3 linked regions of the Macaca mulatta genome follow. The protein of the gene in region 1 purifies or fractionates together with the protein of each later gene. This does not show direct contact. Links are inferred from orthologs where the notes say so. Each region holds a gene or a part of one and is shown on either strand. Other genes may lie near its edges.

Evidence for each region.
Region 2: the proteins of EIF3L (region 1) and ZNF746 purify together in Homo sapiens (affinity purification with mass spectrometry; 3 studies listed by BioGRID and IntAct, counting the BioPlex papers as one, with this or other methods). This does not show direct contact. The link is inferred for Macaca mulatta from reciprocal best matches to the Homo sapiens genes EIF3L and ZNF746.
Region 3: the proteins of EIF3L (region 1) and EIF3B purify together in Homo sapiens (affinity purification with mass spectrometry; 8 studies listed by BioGRID and IntAct, counting the BioPlex papers as one, with this or other methods). This does not show direct contact. The link is inferred for Macaca mulatta from reciprocal best matches to the Homo sapiens genes EIF3L and EIF3B.

What each region holds. Positions count from the first base shown.
Region 1 is NC_133415.1:13,635,303-13,638,948, reverse strand, and holds part of EIF3L (eukaryotic translation initiation factor 3 subunit L), read left to right. Parts: intron 1-1,007; coding exon 1,008-1,178; intron 1,179-3,469; coding exon 3,470-3,646. UniProt on the Homo sapiens protein: Component of the eukaryotic translation initiation factor 3 (eIF-3) complex, which is required for several steps in the initiation of protein synthesis.
Region 2 is NC_133408.1:189,297,141-189,300,786, forward strand, and holds part of ZNF746 (zinc finger protein 746), read right to left. Parts: intron 3,237-3,646; coding exon 3,045-3,236; intron 2,552-3,044; coding exon 2,426-2,551; intron 1,312-2,425; coding exon 206-1,311; 3' UTR 1-205.
Region 3 is NC_133408.1:36,333,807-36,337,966, forward strand, and holds the start of EIF3B (eukaryotic translation initiation factor 3 subunit B), read left to right. Parts: upstream 1-1,317; 5' UTR 1,318-1,371; coding exon 1,372-1,870; intron 1,871-4,160.

The sequences.
Region 1 (3,646 bases):
GGTTCAAGCAATTCCCCTGCCTCAGCCTCCTGAGTAGCTGGGACTACAGGCATGCGCCACCATGCCCAGCTAATTTTTTTATTTTATTTTATTTTAGTAGAGATGGGGTTTCACCGTGTTGGCCAGGATGGTCTCAATCTCCTGACCTCATGATCCACCCACCTTGACCTCCCGAAGTGCTGGGATTACAGGTGTGAGCCACTGCACCTGGCCCATGGCAGTTCTTTACTCTTCACGTTTTGCTAAAGGATTGAGAAGGCCAGTTGCAGTGGCTTACGCCTGTAATCCCAGCACTTTGGGACGCTGAGGCAAGTGGATCGCTCGAGGTCAGGAGTTCGAGGCCAGCCTGGCCAACATGGTGAAACCCTGTCTCTGCTAAAAATACAAAAAAAAAAAAAAAAAAAAGCTAGCTGGGTGTGATGGTGGGCACTTGTAATCCCAGCTACTCAGGAGGCTGAGGTAGGAGAATCACTTGAACCTGGGAGGCAGAGGTTGCAGTGAGCCGAGATCACACCATAGCACTCCAGCCTGGGTGACAGAACAGGATTCCATCCCAGAAAAAAAAAAAAGAAGTAAAGATGTAATTCTGAGATGGTATGTTCATTGATACATGGTTAGCTGTTGTGTTCTTCCTAACCACAGAAAAATATTACAGATTATTTGGTGTTTGGTTCATGTGTGTGTATGTGTTTCTGTCTTCCCTGTCCAAAAGGACTTAATTGAAAAAACAAGGAAAAATAACAAAACTGAGATGTATAGCATTTTGGAGCTGAAAGAGATTTTAGGAATTACCTGATCCAGAACCTTCTTGTTACAGCTAAGAAAATGGATTCCTCAAAACATACAACTTAATTGATGAATAGGAAGATGGGCTCTCAAACTCTGGAACTGCAGAGCTTCCTCTGGATAGTTCAGGGCTCTGCAGGGAAAACTCTTGGTGTTTCTACCTCTGGTTCTATCTAGGATGAATTGAGACTCATGGATGTATGTTCCACCTCCTTCTGCAGAGTATGTATTCCCGCGTGCCAGAGTGCCAGGTCACCACATACTATTATGTTGGGTTTGCATATTTGATGATGCGTCGCTACCAGGATGCCATCCGGGTCTTCGCCAACATCCTCCTCTACATCCAGAGGACCAAGAGCATGTTTCAGAGGACCACATATAAGTATGAGATGGTAAGGGGGACTCTGCCTGCCACCAATGACCTTTCTAATCAGAAGGCTCCTTGGCACCTATGCCAACCGTTCTTGGTAAACACCATCCAAAATATTGCAATTTTAAGCCAGGAGTTCACGGCTGTAGAGTGCTCTATGATGATTGTGCCTACTAGTAGATCACCCAGCTGGAGTGCAGTGACGCAGTCACAGCTCACGTCAGCCTCAACCTCCTGGGATCAGGCGATCATCCTATCTCAGCCTTCCCAATAGCTGGGTCTAAAAGTGCACACAACAGACACAACAGCGGCTCAGCGGCTAATTTTTTTTTTTTTTGAGACCAAGTCTCTGTCACCCAGGCTGGAGTGCAGTGGTGCGGTCTCAGCTCACTGCAACCTCTGCTTCCTGGGTTCAAGTGATTCTCCAGCCTTAGCCTCCTGAGTAGCTGGGACTACAGACATGTGCCATCGCATCCAGCTGATTTTTGTATTTTTAGTAGAGATGGGGTTTCACCATTTGGCCAGGCTGGTCTCGAACTCCTGACCTCAGGTGATCCATCCACCTTGGCCTCCCAAAGTGTTGGGATTATAGGCGTGAACCACCACCCCCGGCCAAAATGATGTTTTAATGGCTAGCATACTCTAAGAGTTTCTGTTGTGATGCCTGTTATCTCAGATCATTAACATCTTGATGATAATATCTTTTGTTTCAATTATATCCTCCAGCAGTGCCTACATTTATTTATTCAGCATCAATATGAACATCAGGCCAGGCGCGGTGGCTCAAGCCTGTAATCCCAGCACTTTGGGAGGCCGAGACGGGTGGATCACGAGGTCAGGAGATCAAGACCATCCTGGCTAACACAGTGAAACCCTGTCTCTACTAAAAAATACAAAAAACTAGCCCGGCGAAGTGGCGGGCACCTGTAGTCGCAGCTGCTCGGTAGGCTGAAGCAGGAGAATGGCGTGAACCCGGGAGGCGGAGCTTGCAATGAGCTGAGATCCGGCCACTGCACTCCAGCCTGGGCGACAGAGCAAGACTCCGTCTCAAAAAAAAAAGAAAAATACAAACATCAGAGTGTTCACTGGCTTCTGAGTGTTTTAATATGAGGTGTGGGCCGGGCGTGGTGGCTCACGCCTGTAATCCCAGCACTTTGGGAGGCCGAGACGGGTGGATCACGAGGTCAGGAGATCGAGACCATCCTGGCTAACACGGTGAAACCCCATCTCTACTAAAAAATACAAAAAACTAGCCGGGTGAGGTGGCGGGCGCCTGTAGTCCCAGCTACTCCGGAGGCTGAGGCAGGAGAATGGCGCGAACCCCGGAGGCGGAGCTTGCAGTGAGCCGAGATCCGGCCACTGCACTCCAGCCTAGGCGACAGAGCGAGACTCCGTCTCAAAAAAAAAAAAAATAAGGTGTGGATATTGATGGGAAGGAGGATGGGTTCAAAGCATACATAGAATTGGGAGGAGCTTCCTAGGCAGAGAATAGCATGAGCAAAGTGGTTGAGACTTGAAGGTGTGGTGATGCAGCAGCACAATAAACCGTTTTGGCTGGAGGGCAAATAGGCAGTAGGAATTGGGTTATTGGATTCTGAGAACCTTCATTAACCCAGGTAAAGTATAGTCCCGTGTCATTTGATGCTGCAGATACATTCTGAGAAATGCACCGTTTGGTGATTTTGTTGTGTGAACATCCTAGAGTGTACTTACACAAACCTAGATGGGATAACCTACTACATACCCAGGCTACATGGTATAGCCTATGGCTCCTTGGCTACAAACTTCTAGAACATATTACTGTACTGAATAACATAGGCAGTTGTAACACAAGGTATTTGTGTATCTGAACAGAAAAGATACAGTAAAAATACAGGATTATAATCTTGTAGGATCACCATCCTATATGTAGCCCATGACCCGTTGTTGACTGAAACGTTGTTGCACAGCACATGACTGTTTAGTCTATATTCTGTCGGCATCAAAGTCGCATCAAAGGTTTTGGGTAACTCGATCCTAACTGGTGTAAAAGGATTGACCTGCTAGTGATGTGTGGGACAAACTGGAGAGACTAAGGCAGAGGTGCCAGTAAGGAATCCAGGAAATGGCTAAGGAGGATCTGGACCTAGGATGGAAGTTAAGTAGATCTAGAGGGAGGATTGGAAGAGAGGTGGGGTAAATTCCGTGGCTGGTATGAGACAACTGGGTAAGTGAAAGATCTGTGCAGAGAATGGTGAGGCCAGTTGACTGACGGTGGGGACCTCAGGAAGTCCATCTTATTTGACCGGGTACAACTCTCCACCCCATTCCCAGATTAACAAGCAGAATGAGCAGATGCATGCGCTGCTGGCCATTGCCCTCACTATGTACCCCATGCGTATTGATGAGAGCATTCACCTCCAGCTGCGGGAGAAATATGGGGACAAGATGCTGCGCATGCAGAAAGGTGACCCACAAGTCTATGAAGAACTTTTCAGTTACTCCTGCCCC
Region 2 (3,646 bases), on another chromosome or scaffold:
CATCTTCACAGAGAATTCTACTTGGTTTCGAGGTGGCAGCTGTCCTGGTGGATAGTTTCTCCTTCTCCAGTGATCATCAGTTCAGCAACTTGGACATTTGGGTTCTCCCCGTCCCGCGTCTGCCTGAAGCTTCCACGCCGCCCTGCTGCCTGCACACGGGGCTTTTTACACGTGCGGCCAGCCGGGGTCACGGGGCTGGTGGTGCTCACATGTCCCCGCCATCGGTGGGTCCTAGGACGCTGAGGCCACAAGTCCAGTCGGTCACAAGGTCTGTGGAGGCCAAAGGTCCTTTGGAGGCGGGGCTCTTGAACGGGTCGGGTGGTGCGGGCGGCGTCGGGAGTGGCTGGCCTCGGGCCGGGGTCTTGGCGCCCGCCGCATGGTTGCGCTGGTGCTTGCGGAGGTGGTCCTTGCGGATGAAGCTCTTGCCGCAGACCGTGCAGGTGAAGGGCCGCACGCCCGTGTGCGTTCGGTAGTGGTCGATGAGCTTGGAGCGTTCGGTGAAGCGCTTCTCACACTCGGTGCAGGGGAAGGGACGCTCGCCTGTGTGCAGCATGCGGTGGCGGATGAGGTGCGCAGGGCGTGTGAAGCAGCGGCCGCACTCCCCACACCGCAGGGCGCTGCCATCCCGTGCGCTGCCCCCACCGCTGCCGCTGCCCCCGCCGCCGCCACCGCCGCCGCCGCCGCCGCCACTGCCAGTGCCAGGGGCCGACCCGTCGGGCACCCCGCAGCTGCGCTGGTGCGCGCTCAGGCTGACCTGCAGCTGGAAGCTCTTCCCACACGTGGCACAGGTGAAGGGCCGGCCCCCGGGGGGCGCCGCGGGGTGCTTCTTCAGCCCTGGCTTGTGGCCAAAGCCTTTGGTCCGGCCAGGGTATTTACAGGGTTCGTTGAAGGGCCTCGGGGCCTGGCTGGGGTCCAAGACGGCCTCTCCGTTATCTGAGGAGTAAGGAAGCCCCTCCGGCCCCGTCCTCGGGTTCAGGCCCACTGGCGGTTTACACCGGAAATTCCAGCCCCACCGGACCCCCCCGAAGAGCCAGTCCCCAGGAGGGGTCTCCTCCTGGGCCACAGCAGGGCTGAGCTCACTCATGTCCCTCTCAGGCCGGGCGGGCTCTCGCAGCCCCAGCACAGGGTCCTGGCTGGGGAAGGAGCTGCCCTGGCTTTCCCAGGCTCCTTCCTGGGCAGGACTAGGGAAAAACCGCGTGGCTTGGCCTGGTCCAAACAGGGTCCCGTGAGCCTCTAGGTCAGTAGGATGTACAGGTGTGGCCACCACCTCCTCTTCCTGGACTTCTGTTTTTATTACAATTTTTACATCTGCTGAGAAAGACAAAAAGACAGATACTGACCTGTCCCGTACCTGCTGAGCGAGCCACGATCTGCCACCATCACTGCTCAGCAGCTGCTTGGCCACACGAACTCCACCAAGGCCCTCCTGGCTGAGCCCAGAGGGCAGCTCAGCAGAGCAGCCTGGTGGTTGTGAGGCGGCCTCCCACCGGAGGACACCAGTGTTCTGGCACCTTCACCACAGGAAAAGCCACCAGCATATCTGCTCCCCAGGTTCCATTTTTCAGTGTGGTTGTTAAGGCAAAGCATGAATTGATCCTCAGAAAGGAATTCGGACTGCTGCAGGTACTGTGCCCCACCGCAGTGCAGGGAATGGAGGTTCAGACAGCGCCGCCACACAGCAGCTGTGGGCTGCAGGCAGTTCCTAACCCACAGCTCATCTGTGAATGCCCACTTCACAGGTGTGAGGATTAAACCAGATGACATGTCTGAAAGTGCCTTAGTGAGCTATTTGACATGCAGCAGCATTCAATAAATGGACCCACTAGCTAATGATAAAAATATTACTGAATGTGTTTGATTTTATGTAAGTGTACTTGAACTTCACATTCTGAGGTTTCACATCAGGGATCTTGGCTATTAGCACGTGTTCTGGGTGCTAAAATATGACGTTATTAAAGTAACAGGTGACTGGGCTTTACAACAGAAGTAAACAGAAAGCTAACAGATAAATTTGGTGGCAGTTCTTCTGAAATCGGCTTTCAGACACCTGTCTTTGGTAGTACCAATATCTAAGAAGTGGTTTCAGTTCAGTTTTGTTTTCTTCCATGCCAGAGAGAAGCCACAGTTGCTTAAGCCTGGGGAGGAGGTATATCCTTCAATCGATCAGCTTATTAGAATACACCACTTAACACCATATGAAAAAGCAACAGACTGAAACATGGATGTCCTCAAGAAGGGCTGCGGACGCCTATGATTTGGGAAGGAGATAAAGAACAGAATGTGCAAAGGGTCATAAGAGTGCAGACACCCTAATGTCTATTGGCTGGAAGGTCAGAGCAGTTCACCAGTGAAAATGAGACGCCTGGATGGAGGTACTCCCCACAGGCAAGCATGGCCCTTCCCTTCCTCCTGTTGCCACCCGTACCTTCTGTGGAGGCTGCTGTGTTGAGCTTCAGGGTCCCGTCCGAGCATGCTGAAGAGGGATGGTGGGGAGGGAGATCCGCCTGCCAGGAGGTAGGTGGGATGGTGGTGGAAAAGTTGGAATGGACACCTGTGATAAGGGGAGAACAGAGCCTGTGGGTTAGGGGAGGGATGGGGAGGACAGAAGACTGCTGGGGAGGAGAGCAGGCTAAGCTCTGAGGTCCTCCCCACTGGGGGCTTTTCTGAGTGATCCCGGTTCTTTTGTCCCCCACTCTGAGGCACTGGGAAGCTCAGACATCATCGCTGTGTTTCACACGGGCCCGTCTTGAATAGAGGCAGCCAGTGACTTCAATGCCCAAAGATGGGGCAAGAGGAGCGGCCGCACGGTTATGGAGGGGCCACTGGAACAGGGCCAGAGAGATGCCCAGGAACAGCATCTGCGACCTGAGAGAGGCTCGAGACAAGTCCTTCAGTACAGTCCCACCTTAAAATGGGAAAATTTCTAAAGTTGTCAGGTCGGAAGTGTTGAGGGCCCACAGCTCCCCCATGCTGCCATGAGCCCTCCCCTGTCCCTCCTGTGATCCCTGAAACTCATTCCTTATGTCCCTGTCTCAGCCACTTACCAGAGGTGGCGTCCGTGGAGATGTCTGCTGCGCCGGAATCCAACTGGCTGAGGCCCCAGGGCTCCTCCCCGATATCTGGCTGCCCGGCTGCCCATGCCTCCACGCCCAGGGCCTGCTGCTCCTGGAGCTGGAGCTCACCCTCCTGCTTGATCTGCATCAAGAGGTCTGGGGCAGGAACTGGGGGCCCCGAGCCTAGGAAGGGGAGTGAGTGTGAGGATACAGCATCACGGCCCCAAGAGGTCTGGGGCGGACACGCACCTAGCTGGAGAGGTAGACACAGGGGCCTTACAAGGGTCCAACAGCAAAAGAGCCTGGTGGGAAGGCAGGCAGCAGCAAACAGGATGGGGGCCTAGGGCAGAGCCTGAGGTCACATGGTATTGGGAATGCAGGTAGGGCAGGAAAGGGTGAGGTGGGGGAGGGGAAGAATACACAAGCACATTCTCAGGGCTAGGCTGCCAGTCCAGGGGGAGACTGAGTTGCCCTGGGAATGGCCTGCCCTCACTTGAAACACAGAAATCCTGGACAAAAGTGAACCCCAAGTCCCCCCCAAAACCTTACCCCCCTCATATATTTAAGTGAGTGCAAAAGAAAAGATCCCAGAG
Region 3 (4,160 bases), on another chromosome or scaffold:
CTCCTGCCTTGGCCTCCCAAAGTACTGGGAAGACAGGTGTGAGCCACCGCGCGGGGTGTGGCCATTTTAATATGAAGTTTAGTATACAGCTCAGTGGCATCAGGTACATTCACCATGTTGTGCAACCATCACCACCGTCATCTCCAAAATGTTCTCATCCTCCCAAACTGAAGGTCCGTTCCCGATAAACACTCCCCACTCTCCTCCCCAGCCTCTGGGTACCACTTGTTTTACTTATTTATTTACTTATTTATTTATTTTTGGTATACATGAGGGTTGGCGGGGGTGGGGGTGCTATGTTGGCAAGGCTGGTCTCGAAATCCTTAGCTCAAGCGATCCCCCCCGCCTCAGCCTCCCAAAGTTTTGGGATAACAGGCGTGATCCACTGGGTTATTTTCTAGTGGTTGTCCTCCACTCCGGCAAAAAACAAGAGAAGACACAAGCACCCAATACCCGTCCCGTGAACAGCAGCCCAGAGCCAACCGCTCCGGAGAGGCTCGCGCCCCACGCGGCGAGAACCCGCCCCCGCCCGCACGTGACCCGCGGTCTCCCGCGCGGAGGGCGGTGGCCTCGCGTGGACCGAAACACTGTGAACGCCCGAATGGGGGGAAACAGGCGGTGACGGCCGCTAGGGAAGGACTGGGGGTAAGCGATTAAAGCAACTCGCATACATTTTTGCATTGCGCCAGGGAGTCGTCTTTCTAGTCGTGCGGGCCGCCTCTGGCTCGCCCCGAATTCCTGTTCTCCTTTTTGGAGTAGTCTGTCCTTTTGCGCAGTCAGTAGGCGAGTCCAAGTGTCAGACACCGACAGGGGGGTCTTTAGTAACGTAAGCTAAACAGTTTGCCTAGCGAAAGGCTGAGACGCCCTGAGCAATCGCCTGTCGAGCCTCCACTCTTCCATGATAATAACTGTTGAGTTAGAGGACATTTTCATCCCATTCTGGATACTAAAATCATTTCTGGTCCCCGCCTCGGGCGCCACAAATAGTTCAGCCCCGCCTCGCAGCGTCCGACGGGAGAGGAAAGGGGAGGCCGCCATGTTGGACAGAACCATCCGCTGCCATATATGGGGTGGCCAATGCGCCCATGAATTTAGTGATGGACGGAAACAACCTTGTTGAATGGAATTAAGCACTTTCTTGTCACAAGAATGTCAGTTTGGTGATTTGCTGGACGCGGCTTGCGGATGCGAGTCCTCTCAGGGTCGTCGTGAGGCTCCAGGGCGTGGGTACACCCCCCGCCCCGCGGCCTTGGTACGGCCTCCCCGTCGCACGCACATGGCTGAGCTGTAGCCGGCGCGGCGCGCGGTGCGGCCTGGGAGAGTCGGAAGCGCGGCGGCCGCGGAGCCCTGCGAGTAGGTAGTGTCGGGCCCATGCAGGACGCAGAGAACGTGGCGGTGCCCGAGGCGGCCGAAGAGCGTGCCGAGCCCGGCCAGCAGCAACCGGCCGCCGAGCCGCCGCCAGACGAGGGGCTGCTGCGGCCCGCAGGGCCCGGCGCTCCGGAGGCGGCAGGGACAGAGGCCTCTAGTGAGGAGGTGGCGGTCGCGGAGGCCGGGCCGGAGCCGGAGGTGAGGACCGAGCCGGCGGCCGAGGCAGAGGCGGCCTCCGGCCCGTCCGAGTCGCTCTCGCCTCCGGCAGCCGAGGAACCTCCTGGGTCGCACGCTGAGCCCCCTGTCCCGGCACAGGGCGAGGCCCCGGGAGAGCGGGCTCGGGACGAGTGCGCCGACAGCCGGGCCCAGGCGGCGTCCGAGGACGCGGGAGGAAACGAGGGCAGCGCGGCCGAGGCCGAGCCCCGGGCGCTGGAGAACGGCGACGCGGACGAGCCCTCCTTCAGCGACCCCGAGGACTTCGTGGACGACGTGAGCGAGGAAGGTGAGGGCGCCCGGGGCAGGGCTGGCGAGCTTCGCGGGAGCGTGACTGGGGTTCCGGAGGTGGGAGATGTCGTCGGGCTGTGCCACTGGTTCGTGCAGAAGTTCCAGCGAGGGTGTCCGTGTGTTCCTGGAAAGCCACCGAGGGAGGGGTTCCCGAGTGCCCTAGAAACGTTCTGAGACCCCAGCGCCTCCCCTTTTCTTTCCTAAAAAAGGGGACAGGATGGAGCTAACTTCGTGAGCCAGGGATTTGCATGACAACCAGAAATCTGAGAGGGTGGGAGAGGGCACAGGGGTACTCTGTTCTGGCTGGGTGTGCTGTGAGTGTAGCAGCTGGGGTTACAGCAAAAACCGAAGACCCGGTGTCAGGTTTGCGGGTCTGCGTGTCCCAGCTGACCAGTCAGACCTCCCGAGGTCTGGATCGGAGGAACAGGTTGTCGCAGAGCCGGTGATTTTGTCCTCCTGCCCCGCACAATTGTCCATCTCCAGGAGACTTCCCTAGTGGTACAGGCAGACCCTGTCAAATTCCAGTTTGGTTCTCCTTTATCCCCTCTGCTAAACCTGTAAGGCGAGTTATTTTTCCAGGTTTTAATATTGTTGATAACAGCCTGCTTTGCCTTCGTCTCAACCTTGATTGGATTTACAGGCATATTTCTGCTTCCGCCTCAGAGAGCTCTTTTCCTAAAGTGACTTCTGATGAGAGCTGGTCTCATTTGTTTTTCTTTTGTTTTTAGCTCTCTTAAGCCTTTAAGTTGAGAAACACATCAGCCTCTGCGGATTGGCTAAGTTAATACTGGAGTGAGAAAAATAAAAATACCCTTGCTGACGCAGCCAGATATACACCAAGACAATTTAGGGAATAACGTGGAGTTGCCAACTTATAATTGAAACGTATTTTTAAAAGGCTATCAGAAATACAAAAATCAGCCAGGTGTGGTGGTGCACACCTGTAGTCTCCGGTACTTGGGAGGCTGAGGCACGAGAATAGCCTGAACCCAGGAGTGGAGGTTGCAGTGAGCCAAGATCCCACTGCTGCACTCCAGCCTGGGTGACAGAGTGAGACCCTGTCTCAAAAAGTGAAAAATTAAAAAATAAAAAGGCTGTCAGTTACTGTGGCCATTATTATATTACACTTTTTTTTTTCATAGAAGACATTTTAGCAAGAAAAGCAGGAAGAACACCACAAACTAATGAAGACTTTGGGAACATCTAGTCTGCGCCCCTCAGTCCTGAGGAAATGTGTCCCTGAAGGTGGAGTAGGCTGCTGAGAATTCGCAGTGGGTTCGCTCTGCGTGGCTCACCAGACTCTCCTGCTCAGAACAGTGTTCTTTCTTTTTTTTTTTTTTGAGACGGAGTCTCGCCCTGTCTCCCAGGAGTCTCACCCTGTCTCCTAGGCTGGAGTGCAGTGGCGCGATCTCGGCTCACTGCAAGCTCCGCCTCCCGGGTTCACGCCATTCTCCTGCCTCAGCCTCCCCAGTAGCTGGGACTACAGGCACCCGCCACCGCGCCCGGCTAATTTTTTGTGTTTTTAGTAGAGACGGGGTTTCACCGTGGTCTCGATCTCCTGACTTTGTGATCGGCCCACCTCGTCCTCCCAAAGTGCTGGGATTACAGGCGTGAGCCACCGCGCCCGGCAGAACAGTGTTCTTTCTAACACTTCAGTAGTTGTTATAGTTTAAAATCAAAATTTTTGGTTTAATGATTATTTTGAGCCCTTGGAAATTCTGCTATTTTTTTAAAAAGTATTATTTGAGCCCATCGAATTCAGATTTCTAATGTGTAAATTATTTCTGGAATTGGGAAGAGTTAGTGGATGCTAATATGACCACAAGGTTGGCCAGGCTGGGTGATGACTGTGGGTCCTCAGGGGTCCCACGTGGCCCTGAAGGTGCAGTGTTGGCCAGAGTGACAGGTGAGGCATCTGGTCCTGAGGACTAAGGCTCAGCAAGCAGGCTTTGTCCTGGCCCGCCTGGTTGTGGTAACGCAGGTGGGTTGTGTGCGTTATGACAAGAGCTGCCCTTCAGGGTCAGTGTGCAAGATAGTATATGAGTGTGTCAGTTCTTTCCAAAAGGGCCGAGTCTTCCAGATAGTATATGAGTGTATCAGTTCTTTCCAAAAGGGCCGAGTCTTCCAGATAGTATAGTGTATCAGTTCTTTCCAAAAGGGCCGAGTCTTCCAGATAGTATATGAGTGTATCAGTTCTTTCCAAAAGGGCCGAGTCTTCCAAGGAGCAGACCAAAGGTGGCCTGGAGTCCCTGTCTTGCCTTCTTATTTTTTGGGTGCAGATTAGCATC